2 linked regions of the Macaca fascicularis genome follow. The protein of the gene in region 1 interacts with the protein of each later gene in a pairwise test. Links are inferred from orthologs where the notes say so. Each region holds a gene or a part of one and is shown on either strand. Other genes may lie near its edges.

The links.
Region 2: the proteins of ARRB1 (region 1) and GNMT interact in binary tests that used the Homo sapiens proteins (3 or more experiments, as listed by UniProt). The link is inferred for Macaca fascicularis from reciprocal best matches to the Homo sapiens genes ARRB1 and GNMT.

The regions. Positions count from the first base shown.
Region 1 is NC_088388.1:74,216,693-74,221,101, reverse strand, and holds the start of ARRB1 (beta-arrestin-1), read left to right. Parts: upstream 1-1,335; 5' UTR 1,336-1,448; coding exon 1,449-1,468; intron 1,469-4,409. UniProt on the Homo sapiens protein: Functions in regulating agonist-mediated G-protein coupled receptor (GPCR) signaling by mediating both receptor desensitization and resensitization processes.
Region 2 is NC_088378.1:128,572,827-128,577,385, reverse strand, and holds GNMT (glycine N-methyltransferase), read left to right. Parts: upstream 1-1,582; 5' UTR 1,583-1,596; coding exon 1,597-1,802; intron 1,803-2,716; coding exon 2,717-2,844; intron 2,845-3,263; coding exon 3,264-3,380; intron 3,381-3,584; coding exon 3,585-3,727; intron 3,728-3,829; coding exon 3,830-3,951; intron 3,952-4,034; exon of another isoform or gene 4,035-4,036; coding exon 4,037-4,208; 3' UTR 4,209-4,379; downstream 4,380-4,559. UniProt on the Homo sapiens protein: Catalyzes the methylation of glycine by using S-adenosylmethionine (AdoMet) to form N-methylglycine (sarcosine) with the concomitant production of S-adenosylhomocysteine (AdoHcy), a reaction regulated by the binding of 5-methyltetrahydrofolate.

The sequences.
Region 1 (4,409 bases):
CACCCTGCCTACCCATCAGCCTTCCCCTGCCCCTCTGCCAAATCTGGACATAATTATAGTAATGATACTGCATATAAACAGTATAGGTAACTGCTTCTGAGCATGATTACAGGAGATGTTTACACACTCACAACAGCATCAGAGTAAATGATAGCTTCCTCCCTTAATACTTAGACCTTTCAGGGATAGTTAGCCAAATCTCAGCAGTGAGGGTGTGGGAAAGACCTTACAATTTCCCACTACCTGCAAAGCAGGAAGGCACCTCAGACAAAGCAGCGTCCCAGCCAAGATTTCACAGGACATCAAGAAGCCTGCAGAGAAGTGGGCTAACATCTACTGGGCACCTACTGTATGCAGGCACTTGGGGAGGCCAGCAAACAAGCAAGTTCTTTCAACCTATTAATTCTGCAGGCTGATATTAGTGTATCCTCACTTTACAGGTCCGGACATGCGTTCTCAGAAGCTTGGTGTACAGGGTCACCCGCAGCAGGCCATGGAGCTAGGCATGGGCACTTTCCACGGTGCTACCCGGTCACATCAGCGGGCCAGCTCTGCCCTCTTCCTTTATCGCCTCTTCTCACTTCTCGCAGCTTCCCTTTCCTGGGCGGCTTCCTGCAGCCCTTGCTGGTCGCGGGTCTCCGCTCAGTTCCCCAGTGTCAAGGCCGTCTACTGCCCCCTCCACCCCTTCTTCCTGTCTCTGTTGGGTGACTGGGTGTTATCTCTCCAGTAGAAGGGGGTGGGGTGGGGTGGAATGGGGAAGGGTGGAGCACAGGGCGAAGGCCTTGCCAGGCATCCCGGGGTCTCCAGCTAGGCGAGCGGCCGCAGAGAGCGCGGCCTCGGGGTCGCCAGACCCTCGGCTTCCAACCACACGCACACACAAAGGCTGCCCCGGCATGCGCGGGAGAGCGCGCTCGCACCCACGGCCGTGCGCACACACGCACAACTGCACAAAGACGTGCACACTCCTCCATCCACACCAATACACTCCCAATAGGGCCAGCACACAGCCGTGCGCCCTCACGTACACCACACCACCACCACCATACAAACACACACACACTCACTCATACGGACTCGCACGCGGGTGGACCCCTCCCCCACCACAAACGCCGACCTTGGGGCCTTGACGCGTCCTGCAGCGCTGCCCCGGCTCGCTGGGCGGCGCGCGCACACGCAGACGCACGAGCGCGCGCACACACACACACACCCCGCGCGGTTCCACGCCCCTGACCGCGGCCCGGGCGCTGCGCTGCTCCGCGCGGCGGGAGGCGGGCGGGGACCGGGGGCGGGGGCGGGGGCGGGGGCGGGGGCGGTGGCGGCGGCGGCCGGGAGAGCGGAGAAGGCGGAGCAGGGAGCCGGGAGCGGGCTGGCCCGCGCTCCTCCTGCTGGCCGGGGATTTTCCAGCCTGGGTGCTGACGCCGCGGACCTCCCTGCGGCCGTCGCGGACCATGGGCGACAAAGGGACCCGGTGAGTGCAGGGCGGTCGCCCGGCGTGGGGCGTGTGGGGGCGACCTCGGCGAGGGCACGGGCGGGGGCTCCGATTGCGTCCTGGTTCTGTGTTCGCGGCCATCCCGGGATCTAGTACCAGCCCTCCTCCACCCGAGGTCTCCTGCGTGGTCTCCCCGGCAGGGCCGTGGGCGAGGGGGACCCAAAGGGCGAGGGCCGGGCCGCCCCATGTGGGCCGCGGCTCCTGGCCCGGACACACTCACAGCTTGCTGATACCCAGCATTGGCCGGCAGCCGCAGAAACGCGCGGGGGCAGGTTGACACACAATACACGCACGGGCACACTAACCCGTGGCACAGGCATGCTGGCGCACACACTGGCAGCCACTGGCACACGCTCATCACACACAGTGGCACGCCGTCATACACGCCTCGGTCAACACATTCTTGCTTACAGCCTTGTTGGCATGAACGGCTCACACTCCAACACACACCAATTCTAACACACCCTCGTGCTAGCACACACGTGTGGGCATACACTGATACGCAAACTGTCACCTGCACTCGCTGTAGCAAACACTCTTGCTGGTACACACATCACCCTCACTAGCACACACACTTGTGCTGGCATGTCTCACCAACACAGTGGAGCGCAAGGCCACACCAACACTGACCCCCACAGACACAATCAGACTAATGCTTGCAAAGACTGGCACCCCGCAGGCACGAGCTGCTAGCCGGAGGCCCGCTGACACACACGTTCCAGGCCCCACATGGCCAGAAGTGGAAACACACATCACACGGGGTAGAACGCTCCCCACTGCCCCCAGCCTGGGGAAAACAGATCCCATCCCATCCGAATAGATCGCATCCATCTACTCTGTTCCCTTTCCCTCTGACCTCCTGAGGAGTGGCTGGCCAGGGGCTGTTTTGAACCTAGGGCTGGGAGAACCCCTCCCGTTCTAGAACCTGGCCTGAAATACTCAGAAAGAAACGGTCTATGCCTCTGAAAGGGGAAAGTGGGACAGAAGGAGGAGGGGGCTGGAGCAGGACAGCCCCTGGGGGCAGCCCTTCAGACAGGACCAGCCCTTCAGACAGGACCAGCCCTGGTCAAGGGCTCAGCATTGCCACCCTATTTTCCCCGTTGCCCTCCCCACCCAAGTGGGCACAGCAGCCTCTTCCTGGGCTCCCCCTCTTTCTCATTGTTTTCTGTCTTTCTCCTCTCCTATTCTTGTGCCTGACTTCTGCCTCCTCCCTTTCCTCCCCTCTCCTCTCCTCGGTTCCATTTATTATTAAGCTCTTGCTGTATACTAGGCATAGTGTGGGTAATCAAAGATGCGCAAGGCCCACTCCTCTGAAGGAGCTAACAGACTAGAGAGACACACCCCAGTGGGCACCACCTTTCAGGGCCACTGACAAAGCCATTTCTCACGTACTGCCATCTGAGACTCTCTCTCAACAGTGTGAGAAAGGGCTTCCAGAGATTATTTCTATTTTCTAGAGGAGGAAACTGAGGCTCAGAGGCAACTTAGGCTCTTAATGTTTAGAAATTACTTTCCAGCCATCCTCCTGACAGCTCTTCCAGGGGGTTAATTTTCCTCTTCCTGTTTTCTAGCAGAGGAACCAGAGAGCTGGAGAGGTCATGTGATTTGCCTAAGGTCAAAAGAGGCCAGAGGCAGGGCAGAGGCTGGAGTCCACTTGGTCATGTCTCTGTGGATGGCCCTAGGGCACTACCAGGCCCCACATGGGCCAGGGAGGGGTGCCCTGCTCTGTGCTGGAGGCCCAGGCTTTGGGGGAGACAGCAGAAGATCATGCTGTGTCTGCATGCATCTTGATGGCTAGTCCCCATTGCAGCTGGCTGGCCAGCACTGTGACCTAGGCCTCTGTCCTCAGTAGGAAGGTATGTGACTCCCTCCCCAGCCACATCCATCTTGACCCATGAGGTCAGGCTTTTCTTCCTGCAGGGTATAGCAGGGAGTTGGAGCCATTCTCCACTCCTCCTGTCCTTCCTAGGCTGCCTTGTGATTGGGGTAACTCAGCCTCTCTTGGGTCTCTCTGTACCTCTCTGTGACTTGGGGGATAAGTGTCATTGCTGTCCTGCTGACATGATTGTCAGGAAGATGTGGACACCATGGGCTTCCAGGCACCTGTTGGAGACCCTGTCTCTGAGGCCAAGATATTTTCCATGACTCCCCCTGCCCTGCCTTGAACTCACTGCTGGACCGTTGGGACATTGGGCAATTGCCTTTACTTTTCCGGACCTTAGTTTCCCATCTGTAAACTGGAGCTATCAATACTTAACATTTTAAGGCTTCCCTTGTACTTACTGACTTCACTGGGCAGGGGAAGAGGCACTGCCTGAAGCCTGGAGCCAAGGCCCAGCTAAATCCACCTGATAGTGGCCCTGACCTCCCCCTCAGACTCTCCTGCAGCCCCATGAGGGCTTTCTGTCCCTTTCCAGACAGTTTGCTAAGTAATTTGGAAAAGAAGGGCAAAATCGGTAATGGGCTGTACCTTGTCTTTTTCCGTAAGCCATGAGATTCTACTTTATCTATGACTTAGAGGAGGAATCTGAAGATATCTAAAACTGAACATCAGGAATCATTGCATCCATCCCTCCATCTGGAATTGCACCCCCATATGAAAGTGACAATGAAAATTTATCAGAAACTGTCACTGCCTTCTAGGAATTCCCAGGTTCAAGGGGGAAAGTGGTGTTAAATACCTGGACAGGGCTGTGCGTGGTGGCTCACGCCTGCAATCCTAGCACTTTGGAAGGCTGAGATGGGCAGGTTGCTTGAGCTCAGGAGTTTGAGACCAGCCCGGGTAACATGGTGAAATACCATCTCTACAAAAAATACAAAAATTAGCTGAGTGTGGTGGCACATGCCTATAGTCCTAACTACTCAGGAGGCTGAAGTGGGAGGATCACTTGAGCCTTGGAGGTCAAGACTGTAGTGAGCC
Region 2 (4,559 bases), on another chromosome or scaffold:
AAACCCGGGAGGCGGAGCTTGCAGTGAGCTGAGATCGGGCCACTGCACTCCAGCCCGGGCTACAGAGCAAGACTCCGTCTCACAAAAAAAAAAAAAAATCCTCCTCTTGGGGTATGCCCTATGTAAATGAAGAGGATGAAGTAAAGTTACAATTATAAAGTTATTAATGGTGGGTGTACACCTATGGAGAGGATATTTCCCATTATAACTGAAGTGTGAATTGGCCTTATGTTCCCTGCCTCCAGACGCTATTTTCCTGCCTCATGTGAAAGCAGAGGGTTTTTTGTTGTTGTTGTTGTTGAGACGGAGTCTTGCTCTGTCGCCCAGGCTGGAGTGCTGTGCCTGGATCTCAGCTCACTGCAAGCTCCGCCTCCCGGGTTTACGCCATTCTCCTGCCTCAGCCTCCCAAGTAGCTGGGACTACAGGCGCCCGCCACCTCGTCCGGCTAGTTTTTTGTATTTTTTTAGTAGAGACGGGGTTTCACTGTGTTCGCCAGGATGGTCTCGATCTCCTGACCTTGTGATCCGCCCGTCTCGGCCTCCCAAAGTGCTGGGATTACAGGCTTGAGCCACCGCATCCGGCCTTTTTTTTTTTTTTTTTTTTTTTTTTTGAGAGGGAGTCTTGCTCTGTCACCAGGCTGGAGTGCAGTGGTGCCCTCGGCTCACTGCAACCTCTGCCTTCCCGGGTTCAAGCGATTCTCCTGGCTCAGCCTCCTGAGTAGCTGGGACTACAGGCGCGTGCCACCATGGCCCGGCTAATTTTTTTGTATTTTTAGCAGAGACGGGGTTTCATCGTGTTAGCCAGGACGGTCTCGAACTGCTGACCTCAGGTGATCCACCCACCTTGGCCTCCCAAAGCGCTGGGATTACAGGGGTGAGCCACCGCGCCCGGCCAGCAGAGGGTCTTTAGAAGGGTTCTCAGTGATCCAGAAATTGGAAGCAAGGCCCAACTTACACCTTAGGAAGCTCAGGGAAAAGCCTGATGGTCACCTACAAAACAGAGGCACATTGGCCTCCAGGTGGGCGGGGAGCATTCTTCCAGCCCCGGCTCCGCCCCGGGCTTGGGTGGACAGACCAGCTTTACCTCCAGAGACTCCCCCTGTCTTCCCTGCATCGGCTGGCTAGCCCCACACACTTTGGCTGCACATTCTTTGTTTAGATCTGCTGATGCCTTCCTTCGCTGGGAACGGTCCAGTCCTGCCCGCCTGGCGCTCAGCTCTGTGGATCTGAGGTTTTACTTCCTCTCTTTCCAACTTGGGAGGGGGGGATGAAGTGGCAATCTCATTGCTCCCTCCTCTCCTGGCCCCTCTCGCCTTCTCCTGGAGACCCAGGTTAAGTGGGCAGAGGATTCCGAGGGTCCTCTCCTGCCGTGGGATTGCACAGAGGGCTGGGTCCGCAGGCTGGCTAAAAGGACCTAGCCCAGGATTGCAAGGCAGCGCCCTCCCCGCAGCTGTACAGCCTCAGGCGTCCGGCGCAAAGCCCAGCAGGGGCGTGTCCGCGCGCTTACCTGCCATTGGCCGGGTGGGGCGGTCGGCTGCCTGAAGTGCCTGTGCTATAAGTGCGGAGCGAGTGACTGCGAAGTCAGGCGCGGCGCAGGATGGTGGACAGCGTGTACCGGACCCGCTCCCTGGGGGTGGCAGCCGAAGGGCTCCCGGACCAGTACGCGGACGGGGAGGCGGCGCGCGTGTGGCAGCTGTACATTGGGAACACCCGCAGCCGCACCGCCGAGTACAAGGCATGGCTGCTCGGGCTGCTGCGACAGCACGGCTGCCAGCGGGTGCTCGACGTGGCTTGTGGCACCGGGTAAGCCCAGGAGGGGGCCGGGGGCGTTGCATGAGATCGGTGTCCGGCTCAGCCTGTACCTCGCGGCCGCAGAACCACAGGACCGGCACGTCGGGGCGGCCTTTGCCAGTCTGGAATGGGTGGGACACCAGGGCCAGGAGCAGGTACCTGCCCGGCAGAACAGGCACTGCGAGTGCCCCCTGAGGCCAAGGGTTGGGGCAGGGGTGCTCAGGGAGAGGCCACTGAGAAGGGAGACTGAGTGTGAGTGAGGGTGTGGGCAGAAAAGTGAGCGTCCTTAAGGCTGTGGAGCCAGGGCCACGGACAGACTCCAAATATTCCTCCTGTGACGGCCTTGGGCAGTGTTAACAGTTAACATTGCTCAACATTTGCATCTGTCAAGCCAGTGCCAGGAGCTTTTGATACATCAGTTTTTCAAACCCTCACAAAGCCCCATGAGGTTAAGCAGTGATACTCTCTCATTTACTACTGGGGAAGTAAGGGCTCAGCAAAGTAAAAGTCCCTCATACAACATCCAGTGAAGAGGAGCTAACAGGCCCGGGTTGGTTAAGGTCTGTCCTGTGCTCTAAACCACCATGTTCTGCTGCCTCTTGTGCACACCTATTTTAACTTAGAGGAGCCTCAGCTTGTCTGTCTCTCAAATGGGAATAACACTATTTACCTCTCAGGATTGCCATGAGAATTACTGCATATTTGTAGAGTGCCTAGCTCTGAAGAGGCGCCTTAAAAAAAAAAAAAAAAAGTTGCCTCGTGGTGATAGGAAATAGATTTGTGAGGTCAGTGGAGAGGGCCTGGGGAGAGGAGGCAGAGGAATGGACTCTGAGAAGTGGAGACAAAAGTGTCCGGCACAGGGTCTCCTGGCCCTCCCAGGCTCCCCTGACTGCCCCTCTCTGTCTCTCTCCACTGGCCCTGCCCAGGGTGGACTCCATTATGCTGGTGGAAGAGGGCTTCAGCGTGACAAGTGTGGATGCCAGTGACAAGATGCTGAAGTATGCGCTTAAGGAGCGCTGGAACCGGCGGCACGAGCCCGCCTTCGACAAGTGGGGTATGCAGGTCTAGCCAGGCCCCCCCAGCCCAGTCACCAGGAACACTGTTCATTCTGCCTGGGGCTCCTTTAAGTGGGGGTGGGGGTGGGGTGTTGTGTTTTCCTCGGGGAGACAGCAAAATTTCCTCGGGGAGACAGCAAAATTACTGTAATTTCTCTGAAAAGCAAGGCTTAAGCTCCAGAATGAGACACTGGGTGTGAAGAGCTGGTTTTAACTGTGTTTATGGCATCTTGTCCCTCCCCTCAAAGAAAAGCCCATAAGCACAGAGCCCTCCTTCTGAACCAGGGTTCCTCCCCCTAACCGAACGGGGAGTTTTTGTGTCTTAAGAAGAATCCCAGGCAGGACTGCACTTGGTGGAGGTGGCTGCTACTGGTACCATGGTGCCTCCCTGATTCCTCTTTCCCTTCCTGGCCCCCAGTCATTGAAGAAGCCAACTGGATGACTCTGGACAAAGATGTGCCCCAGTCAGCAGAGGGTGGCTTTGATGCTGTCATCTGCCTTGGAAACAGTTTCGCTCACTTGCCAGACTGCAAAGGTGAGAGAGGGTGTGGCCTTGGGCATGGCCCCCGCCTTGAGCTGTACCCCCTTCCACAGACCTCTGGGCACCTGCTCTGCAAAGCAGACTCTCTGCCTCTCTCTGATTTGGCTCTGGTACCCCTGGGGAGGGGAGAGATGGGAGGGAGACTGGTGCTGGGGGCCCTGAGCAGATGGAGCCTTTCTGCCCCTGCCTGGCGCTCAGGGGACCAGAGTGAGCACCGGCTGGCGCTGAAAAACATTGCAAGCATGGTGCGAGCAGGGGGCCTGCTGGTCATTGATCACCGCAACTACGACCACATCCTCAGCACAGGCTGTGCACCCCCAGGGAAGAATATCTACTATAAGGTGGGGCCCTCTGGGATTGGGGGTGGGGGTGGGGTGGAGGGAGGGTCCAGTGGCCCCAAGGTAGGTTACAGAGGCTAACGCAGCCTGCCCCACCACCTACAGAGTGACTTGACCAAGGACATCACAACATCAGTGCTGATAGTGAACAACAAGGCTCACATGGTGACCCTGGACTATACAGTGCAGGTGCCGGGGGCTGGCCAGGATGGCTCTCCTGGCTTGAGGTACCACTTGGCTCAGTGGGGGTGAGGCAGTAGTTGGGGAAGCTGAGGTCACCAGTCCTCATGGTTGCTGGGGGCTCTGTTACAGTAAGTTCCGGCTCTCCTACTACCCACACTGTCTGGCATCCTTCACGGAGTTGCTCCAAGCAGCCTTCGGGGGCAAGTGCCAACACAGCGTCCTGGGCGACTTCAAGCCTTACAAGCCAGGCCAAGCCTATGTTCCCTGCTACTTCATCCACGTGCTCAAGAGGACAGACTGAGTGTGGCCTCAGCTCCCACAAGCCTCCACCCAGGCACTGCTAGGCTCTGTCTTGAAGATCGGGACCAGCAGCCCCACACCAGGGCCAGCCTCTAGAGCAGACTACAGCTGGGGTGCAGGGATGTGGGTTCCGCAGATGGAAGGTTAAACAATATAGTCTGTGCCTTTTTCAGTTCCTGCATGCCTTGTGTTTATGTCAGAAGGATCAGACTCCCACGATGCCCAGCCCCCCGCCCGCCCCCAGGGCTTACTCCTCCCATAACCCTGCTCTTTCCCACTCCAACCTTTCATGCCACAACACCAATAGGGTGAGGGACACGTTTTATTTTCAGCCACAGAACTAGCCCTCTTA